Linked DNA regions of Mus musculus. The protein of the gene in region 2 binds, or shares a complex with, the protein of the main gene of each other region. Links are inferred from orthologs where the notes say so. Each region holds a gene or a part of one and is shown on either strand. Other genes may lie near its edges.

Region 1 (4,602 bases), about 10 Mb from region 2:
CTGCCTTGCTTGTACAGCCATAGCAAAGCTGCATGCTCTCAACTAGGACAAGCTCAAACAGGACTTCTGATAAGGCTGCCCACTATGACACGCTGTCACACACTTACTACAAGACAAAACAAAACAAAAATAAAAAACAAAAAAACTGCCAGGCAGTGGTGGCAAACACCTTTAATCCCAGCGCTCAGGAGGCAGAGGCAGGAGGATTTCTGAGTTGGAGGCCAGCCTGGTCTACAGAGTGAGTTCCAGGACAGCCAGGGCTACACAGAGAAACCCTGTCTCGGAAAACCAAAAACCAAACCAAACCAAACCAAAAAAAAAAAAAAACAACTCAACCCTTTTATTTTCCACCAATCGTAAACATATTTTCTTTAAGCTGAAACAAAAGGTTTAGAGAAATTATCCTTTATATTAGAAAAACAGCTTTAGGTCATTCACTCAAGGTCATTCAAATACTGGTTTTAAAAAGTGGCACAATTGAAGCACACATCTTTGATCCCAGCACTCTGGAAGCAGAGGCAGGAAGATTTCTGAGTTGGAGGTTAGCCTGGTCTGCAAATGGAGCCCCAAGACAGCCAAGGACTGTTACATATAGAAACCTTGTCTTGAGCAAAAAGCAAAAAGACAAAATAAAACAACAACAAAATGCTCACAACTGTAAGTCAAAAGGCTACTTTTAAAATGTAAAACAGGAGCACTTCCATAACCATCTTCAAAACTACAAATATGCAGGGTGGCACACTCCTTTAATCCCTGCACTCCAGAAACAAAAACAGCCTGATCTCTGAGTTCAAAGCCAGCCAGATGGTCTACAGAGCAAGTTCCAGGACTGCCAGGGCTACACAGAGAAACCTTATCTCTAAAAAACAAAAAGAAGAGAGAGAGAGAGAGAACATAAAACCTTCACACTGGGGAACCAAGGGCACAAGCACTTGTGAACAGGCTGTGCGGACCCTGGCATCGTACTTAACTTGTGGGGCTTACTATTACTATTACTAGCAATTTACTAACGTGTGGGGCTTAAGTGTGGAGGAGAAATTGGAGAAGAATGAAGAAAACAGATTTCAAAGCCAGCCCACTCTGCGCCAGCTTTAACAAGGCTTAGATGTCGGGGCAGGCCACTCTAACCTAAAAGCGTAAAAAACCACATTCTACCATAACTTATTAATGATGCCAATTTGTTACCAAATAAGTCTGTCTCAGTACTAAAGATTCAACGGTCTCCACTTGGGACGGTCTGTTTAGCCAACAACCTCCACACATCAGAGTGGCTTACAGAACAATCTTCACGTGCTGTTGTTACACTGGGATCCCCTTGCATTTAATCTGATACAGAAAATCTGCCCACAGACCTGACTCCTTAGTGGAATCTGTCCAGCCAATTCATAGACTAGACGTGCAATACAAATGTTACAATTGATCGCTCGACTGACACAGATTACACTAGCTACAAATATCTGCCCCCCAAAAAAGCTGACGAGCACACCGAGGCCCAAGTAAAAAGAACCCTGTCAAAGAATCTGGAAACCAAGGCAACCCCCCAAAAAAGGTTTTGTCAGTCAAGAACACCAAACAACAGCCTGAGGGTGCCTACTTTCCTAAGTGAAGCTCAAAATAGATTTCAATTTCCAGCTGATGGGTCTCACCCGCTGTCTTTTGAACCTAGAAGCTGAAAGCAGAATAAACCGCCTGCTCTCTTTACCCGAGGAACAGGATCTATTTTGCACATGCTTATTTAAGATGCCTGGCGAGTATGGTTAATCCTCACAACCCCCGCACTGACATTTAATCGGAAGATTTGTTTTCTTTAGAGGACTTAGCTGCTTGCAAAGACATCTTTGCATTTTCAATTCACTGTTTCATACATGGCGGGGGGTGGGGGGGAGAACCCTACTTTCATAATACTTTTTTTTTTTTTAATGAACCACCAGAACCCCTCAAGTGGACCGGATCACAGAAAACAGAAACCATCTCAGCTCACGGTCAAAGGATAAAAGACAAAAGAAAGAGGCCATTTGGAGAGGGTCAGGCAGCTATAGGAATGGGTTCTGTGTCCCCCTAGTTAGTCGCCTAACCTCATGGCTTGTCACTCCTTGGTCTATTCAAAGAGCAAGTCTCCTTCCCTGTCGAGCCGCTAGCAGCCCTGCCGGTGATGCCCTAGACAAGGCAGCCCCTTTGCGTACAGTCACCCTCCACCAGAACAGGTCTTTCTCTTCTCAACACTTGTCACCAGATGCAATGATCAGTATTTGAATGTCTGTGTGACTATAGCCTCTCGGGGGGGGGGGGATAGGTTAGGTCTACGGTGGCGTTCAATACACACCAGCTCCAAAGCCTAGCACCGAAGAGACCCTCCAGCTCACGTCTAACAAATGAATGGACAGGAAGGAGTAAGGGGGCTGTCATCCCCGGGCCTCCACCACCGCACACCGAGGCCCGAGGAAGTGAAATGTGAGGGGGCGGGGGTGTCGGCGAGCCCACCCTCCTCCCCAGGAGACAAAGGAAGAGGGCCTGAGGTGGTCCAGTCCAGACAAGGAAGCGGCAGGGGTGTGGACCAGTGGGGACAAAGGGTGGCTGGGCCATGTTGGGGTCGGGTTTGCGGGGGGAGCTCGAAGATGACAGGGACCGCGGAGAGATAGAGGCGAGTGGGGGTGTCGCAGGGGCCGCGAACCCCAAGAGGGGTCTAGGGCGACGAGGATGCGCGACAGGAGTCCCCCGAGCCGGGAGGGTCGGGGAGACGGCGCGGCCTAGGGGCCCCCGGCTCCGCACCTGGTAAATAGCCGCCCAGTTCCCAGCCTTGTCGATCTCCTCGAACTCCTTCTCCATCTCCATGGCGGGACGGGTCGGCTGCCCGAGTTCCCACGGCCGTCCGCCGCGCTAGGCCGCGTCGCTCCGCGTCCCGAAGCCCGTCACCCGCCACCACCGCAGCCCCAAGCTCCCCAGCAGCGGCTTCTGCATGTCAAGCCGGCAGCCGGAAGTACGCACCCCCGCCTCACCGCGAGCTCCGCCCTCTGTACGGGAGGACCAGTCAGCTAGCGAAAAGGCGGCCGGCACTTCCGCGGGGGCGGAGCGGTAGGCGGGGCATCGCGGACGAGGCCCGAACCCGAGGAGCAGACTTGCTGCGCGCGCCGCGTGCGGCTTCCCGGGTTCCGCGCTCCGGAGGGCGCGCGCCCGTTGCCCAAGCGACCCCCGGCGGCGCGCCCACGGCGCGTGGGCCGAGGCGGGACTCGGGGAGTATCCTGAGTTCGAGCCTCAAGCCCGCCGGTTGAGTCAGGCGGCGAGGGCGTGGCCTCGAGCTGGGCGGTTGAGTGGGAGCGGCGTTTCCTGTCCCGGTCTGTTTTTCTTTTTTCTTTTTTTCCTTTTTGTCTTGGTTTTTCCAGACAGGGTTTCTGTGCGTAGCCCTGGACGTCCTCACATTCACTCTGTAGACCAAGACTGGCCTCGAACTCATAAATCCGGCTGCCTTTTTCCCGAGTTCTGGGATTAAAGGTGTGTGCCATCACTTCGGGCTCCGTTCTTTATTTTTAACTCAGGGTCACGATATTCCAGGCTGGCCTCTCACTTGCTGTCAGGCCAAGGATAACCTCTTATTTGCTGTCAGGCGAAGGATGATCCTCTCGCCTCCATCTCCCACGTCTTGGAATCACAGACATGCATTGCGGGGGATAAACCAGAGCTCCGTGCATGCTAGGACCTACTCCGGCCACATCCCAGCGAGCAGAGTGTTCGTTTTAGACAACGAATCACTCTATAGCCCGAGCTGGCCTGGAGTTCACTACGTAACCCAGGCCAGCCTCCAGCTCTGGATCTGCCTGCCTCAGTCTCCGGAGTTTTGGACAGGTGCTAACACCCAGCTGGCCACTCTGCTCTCATGAAACTTGGGAAAGTCCATAAGAGTTTTTACCCTGGCAGAATGAACGGATGGGACATGTGGTGCTAGTTTTCTGTCTTTCTCCAGTATCAAGAAAATCCTGACCAGATGTGGTGGCACTTGCCTTTAAACTCTCCAGGTAGAAGCAAGGGGTCTCTGAGTTCCAGGCCAGCCTGGTCTACATCGTTCCGGGACAGCCAGTTATACAGTGAGACCCCTTCTCAAAACAAAAAAACAACCAAAAGGGAAAAAATCTTCCTTGGGGTTTGTTGGTGACTCATAACCATCCTAACTCTAGTTTCAGGCCGTCTTCTGACCTTCAAGGGCACAGGGTATACATGTGATACCATACTACTGTACATACATGCATACAAAACCATCATACAAATAAATCTAAAAACATGTTTAAAAGAAAAAAAAAATCTTCCTCTCTGATGTCATCTGGGTGCAGATTCTGTGGTTTGTTCAGACTGCCCAGGGTGAGCACTGAATGTTGGTTCCGATGCTTGGGTTCCTTGAAGTATGTGTGAAGGATGGGATTGCCTTCCCTGGGGAAATGTAACTGGAACATGGAGTTGTAAACTTCCATTCTGGGATAGAAAGGGAGACATAGGTAGGAGCCGTGTCCTGTGCCCAGTGCCAGCTCCTGGTGTGACAGAGTGACTTCCAGTTTGCTCCAAGGGTACTGAGGTAGGCAAAAGGGCCCATGTTCATTTACTCTCCACAATCCC
Region 2 (3,802 bases):
ATGTGGGACATACGGTAGTGAGGCGGTGACACAGGCCATCAGCATGTTCTGGAGATGGAGGCAGGGAATGGGGCTCAGGCAGGGTCCCACAGCAAGCTGGCTTCCCTGCCCTGTGTGTACGGCTCTATGTATCATGTGCACATTGGCTCTGGGGTCAGGCAAACACCCTCCTGTAGACATCTATTCCCCAGGGGCCTGCGGCACAAAAGTCACCTGCTCAAATCACTCATTGGTTACCTGTCAGATTTGAGAGTATCAGAACTAGTGTGAAACAGGTGTGAGAGTCTGCCCTAGGGAGGCCACACCCCGACTCCAGTCGCCTAGCAAGATCTCAGGACACAGATGAAACAGAGGATATTTGGGAGGGGGAAGTCAAGCAGGCTTTAGGAATTCTTTGGGAGCCCTGGAAGGCATTCCAGAGGAAGAGGTCCCTGGCCTGGATCTGAGGGATAACTAGGAGGCACCCCATACAGCACATCGCCTGTGCCAGAGCCCAAGATCGGCTGTGGGGTTGGAAGAGGTGCTGGGAGGTGGGAAGCTGTAGATGCGGTTGGAGGAACTGCAGGTGAAGGCATGGAGCAACCTTTAGCCACCTGGGCTTGGGGCCTTGGGACTGTATCATAAGGTTCCGTGGCAGCCCTGGAGGATTTGGTCTGGGAACCAGATGATCCCCAGAGCATCAGCAGACGGACAGAGGGGCAGCTAGTCCTCTGAGAGAGGCTGAGGCCCAGGCCAAGGAGGCAGCTCAAGTAGCTACACCTGAAACAGCCACGCACAGAAGAGCCCACACCAACCCCATCACTGCACACGGCCCGCAGCCCAGCTCCAGCCCGCTCTGCCATTCTCTATCAAAGAAGCCTCCCCCTCCTTCTCTCCCAGGAACCGGTTCAGACCAGTCTTAGGGCTGCAGAAACAATCAACACCAGCCTCTAGCCCCTCCCTTCTAGCGTGCTCAAGGCAGGCCCCCTCCTCACTGGCCAGCTGCAGCGGAAGGAGAAGAGGGGGGCTGGGCAGGGAGCAAGGGGAGAAGGGAGGAGATGGAGGAGAGGCAGGGAGGGAAGAGGCATCCCAGGGGTGAGGAGGCACGGCAGACACCCTGCTCCCCTGGGCGAGTCCCCACACGGCCGGCCGGGGACACTCACTGGAGTAGTAAGCCACGAGCTGCTGCAGGCTGTTGAACTGGGTGCGGGAGGTGATGTAGAAACCGCCGCTGTCCAGCTTGCGGATCTTGTAGTGTTTCACATTTAGGCCCTTGGCATTGTCGAAGTCGGATACAGAGAGGCAGTAGGCACCTGTGGGTAGGCAGGGAGGAGACCCCAGAGGTACCCTGCTAGTGTGTTCCTTGCTTGAGGAAGTGACTTAGTCCCACTCTCTTTCAGCCCCTAGTGTGCTGAGAGGAGCAGGGCAGCCGTGTAGGCACAAAACCCCAATGGCAGACATGCCCCTGTGCCTCACAGCCCTGGTAAGACACCTGAACCCCAAGGTGCTCACAACTGTGTGACCCTGACAAGTTGCTGCTTGCCCTGTTTCCTCCCTACACAATGAGACAACCGTGAAGAGTCACACGGTACTCAGCAAGCACTCCATAAATGCTGGCCCTCTCCAGGTATACCCACCCCGTGCCTGCCTGCCCTGTTCTGCCTACTGGACACCAGCTGAGCAGACAGGAGTAGCGGCTGGCTGTGTGGACCTGTGAGTAATTAGTCCAGGGCAGGAGGTACATCCTGAGTGTGGCCTGCAGCCCTTGCCCCTGCGCTGCCTCTCTGGAGCCTAGAAAACCTGCAGCTAAGAATGTCCTCAACAGAAACCTTTGTTAACTAAAGCCTGGATAGCCTGGATAGCCTGGATAGCCTGGGGAGAGGCAGGCGGGGTGCAGGGTCCAGCGGCCTGCCATGTAGCTGGCAGTTCTGAGTGGAAGGACTGACGGACTGTCCACCACTCACTGATGAGGCCCCTGGAGCCCCACTGGACGTCATTAGGTAAATGTGATCTTCTGGTAACATAAGTGAGTCAGGGAGAACTAGGCCTGGGACCCACCCTAACCTGTCTCAAGGCAACCCTTGGGAAGTCATGTTTTCTACAGACTGACTGCCCACTTCATGTGCACACAGAAGGCTCCGCTGACGGCATACCTATGCCCAGAGCCCACATTCTCACATTTGCCCATACCCCCAAGCCCCAGGAACCGGGACCTCGCCACATTTCACTCCAGCAACACTGCCCAACCCCAACAGTGAGCGAGCACACCACACCACACACACACACCCACCCACACACCACACCACACACACACCACACACCCATCATCCCTGTGTACTGTGCACAGCACACGGGTGTGTGTGTGTGTGTGTGTGTGTGTGTGTGTGTGTGTATGTGCACTTTTCCATCTCCCGCTGAGCCCCAGGCCCACAGGAAGCAGCCTGGCTTGGTTGCCATGGTGATGGACTAAGAGAAAGGGCAGAAACAGCAGAGACAGTGTGGGGGAAGGGTAAGGCCAGAAAAGGCCCCTGGGAAAGGGAAAAGGGAAACAGAGGGGCATACGGCTCCTGTTCCCATCTGTAAAACATATCCACAGCTGTGTCACACTCCTGGTAAACTGTACCCACTCTCCATGTGAGAAACTGAGGCCAGAGGAAGCCTTAGCTTGCGTGTCCTGTCCACCTCTGGATCATTCAGTCTTCCTCAAGTGCCACTTTAACTTTAATTCCTGTTACCTCCTCCACTGCAAGGCTCTCCCCTCCCCATCTCATGTACCAAACTCCTATTCACTCTCCAATACCCAGCTCAAGTAATACCCTCAAAGCTGAACTCTGCCAGCCACCGCTCACTCAGGCATACCTTTTGTGGTCTCACTCTCCCTCACGAGGAAGGTCCCTCTCGGGTTCTCGGCGTTGAGCAGCAGCCGCTCTGATTCCCGTCTAGTGATCTTGCCAAAGTACCACCTGGAGTGGGAGGGACAAGGCTGTGCCTGTTGGCCAGGGTTCGCTGCCCACAGTGCTGGCCCTGGGTACTGAGACCTCAGTGTGGCCAGCCTTCTACCCACTCGGGCCCACGAGGGACTCGGTACTAGAAGTGGTGGTGGCAGCGGACCATAGCCGAACAACATACTCACTCCTCAGCCTGGATGGAGTCGGAGGGCGCCACATAGTTGCTGGGGATGTAACCGGTCTGTCCCGTGCTCAGCGAGTGTGCCAGCCACCAGTCTCCCTCTCTGAGCAGGAGGGAGGGAGCAAAGAATGAGGTCACGGGGGATCGGGGTCGGTAACCTTGACCTCCCCAGGTACACGGCCAGGCTCCGCAGCAGAGGAAGCTGAGCCAGCCTGCGTACACAGCAAGCCAGCAGGAACTGGCCTGGGACATCCACCTCCATAATGACATACTGACCCAGAGGGATGCCACCTAAAACCTCAGCAGAACTGAGCCCCACGCACCCCAGACTGAAGTGTCCAGAAGCGCAGAGTGGCCTGCAGGTGCCTTAGGAGAGAGGAAGGGAGGAAGCTCGCTGTCTGGGGCAGGGATGGGAAAAGCAGAGTTTACATGAGATAGATGCCACATTAGACCTTCAAACTCTCCCCAAGCCCTGAGAGCCTGGATGCCCGATGGAGACAAGGGCTGGCGCTTCTGGCCCGGCAATAGTTCAGGCCTATCCCTTCAAACAACAGTACGTGCCCCTGTTCCAAACCATAGCTCACACCTTAAAGTCCTTAACCAAAACCTATAGGCTTCCTCCTGCAGCCTAGCCCTGTCTGGGGAAGTGAAGCCAGAGAGAACTGGGCCATGCCCAAAGTCACACAGCAAGTCA

What was found.
Region 1: the proteins of Src (region 2) and Ptpn1 are in contact, whole or in part, in a crystal structure (PDB 3ZMQ), measured with the Homo sapiens proteins. The link is inferred for Mus musculus from reciprocal best matches to the Homo sapiens genes SRC and PTPN1. Residues at the interface, in NP_005408.1 of Homo sapiens: Glu527, Gln529, Tyr530, Gln531, Pro532; in NP_002818.1 of Homo sapiens: Arg45, Tyr46, Arg47, Asp48, Val49, Asp181, Phe182, Ser216, Ala217, Gly218, Ile219, Gly220, Arg221, Ser222, Gln262.

What each region holds. Positions count from the first base shown.
Region 1 is NC_000068.7:167,930,724-167,935,325, reverse strand, and holds the start of Ptpn1 (tyrosine-protein phosphatase non-receptor type 1), read right to left. Parts: upstream 3,000-4,602; 5' UTR 2,833-2,999; coding exon 2,770-2,832; intron 1-2,769. UniProt on the Homo sapiens protein: Tyrosine-protein phosphatase which acts as a regulator of endoplasmic reticulum unfolded protein response. Mediates dephosphorylation of EIF2AK3/PERK; inactivating the protein kinase activity of EIF2AK3/PERK.
Region 2 is NC_000068.7:157,462,119-157,465,920, reverse strand, and holds part of Src (neuronal proto-oncogene tyrosine-protein kinase Src), read right to left. Parts: intron 3,212-3,802; coding exon 3,113-3,211; intron 2,943-3,112; coding exon 2,839-2,942; intron 1,293-2,838; coding exon 1,143-1,292; intron 49-1,142; coding exon 1-48. UniProt on the Homo sapiens protein: Non-receptor protein tyrosine kinase which is activated following engagement of many different classes of cellular receptors including immune response receptors, integrins and other adhesion receptors, receptor protein tyrosine kinases, G protein-coupled receptors as well as cytokine receptors.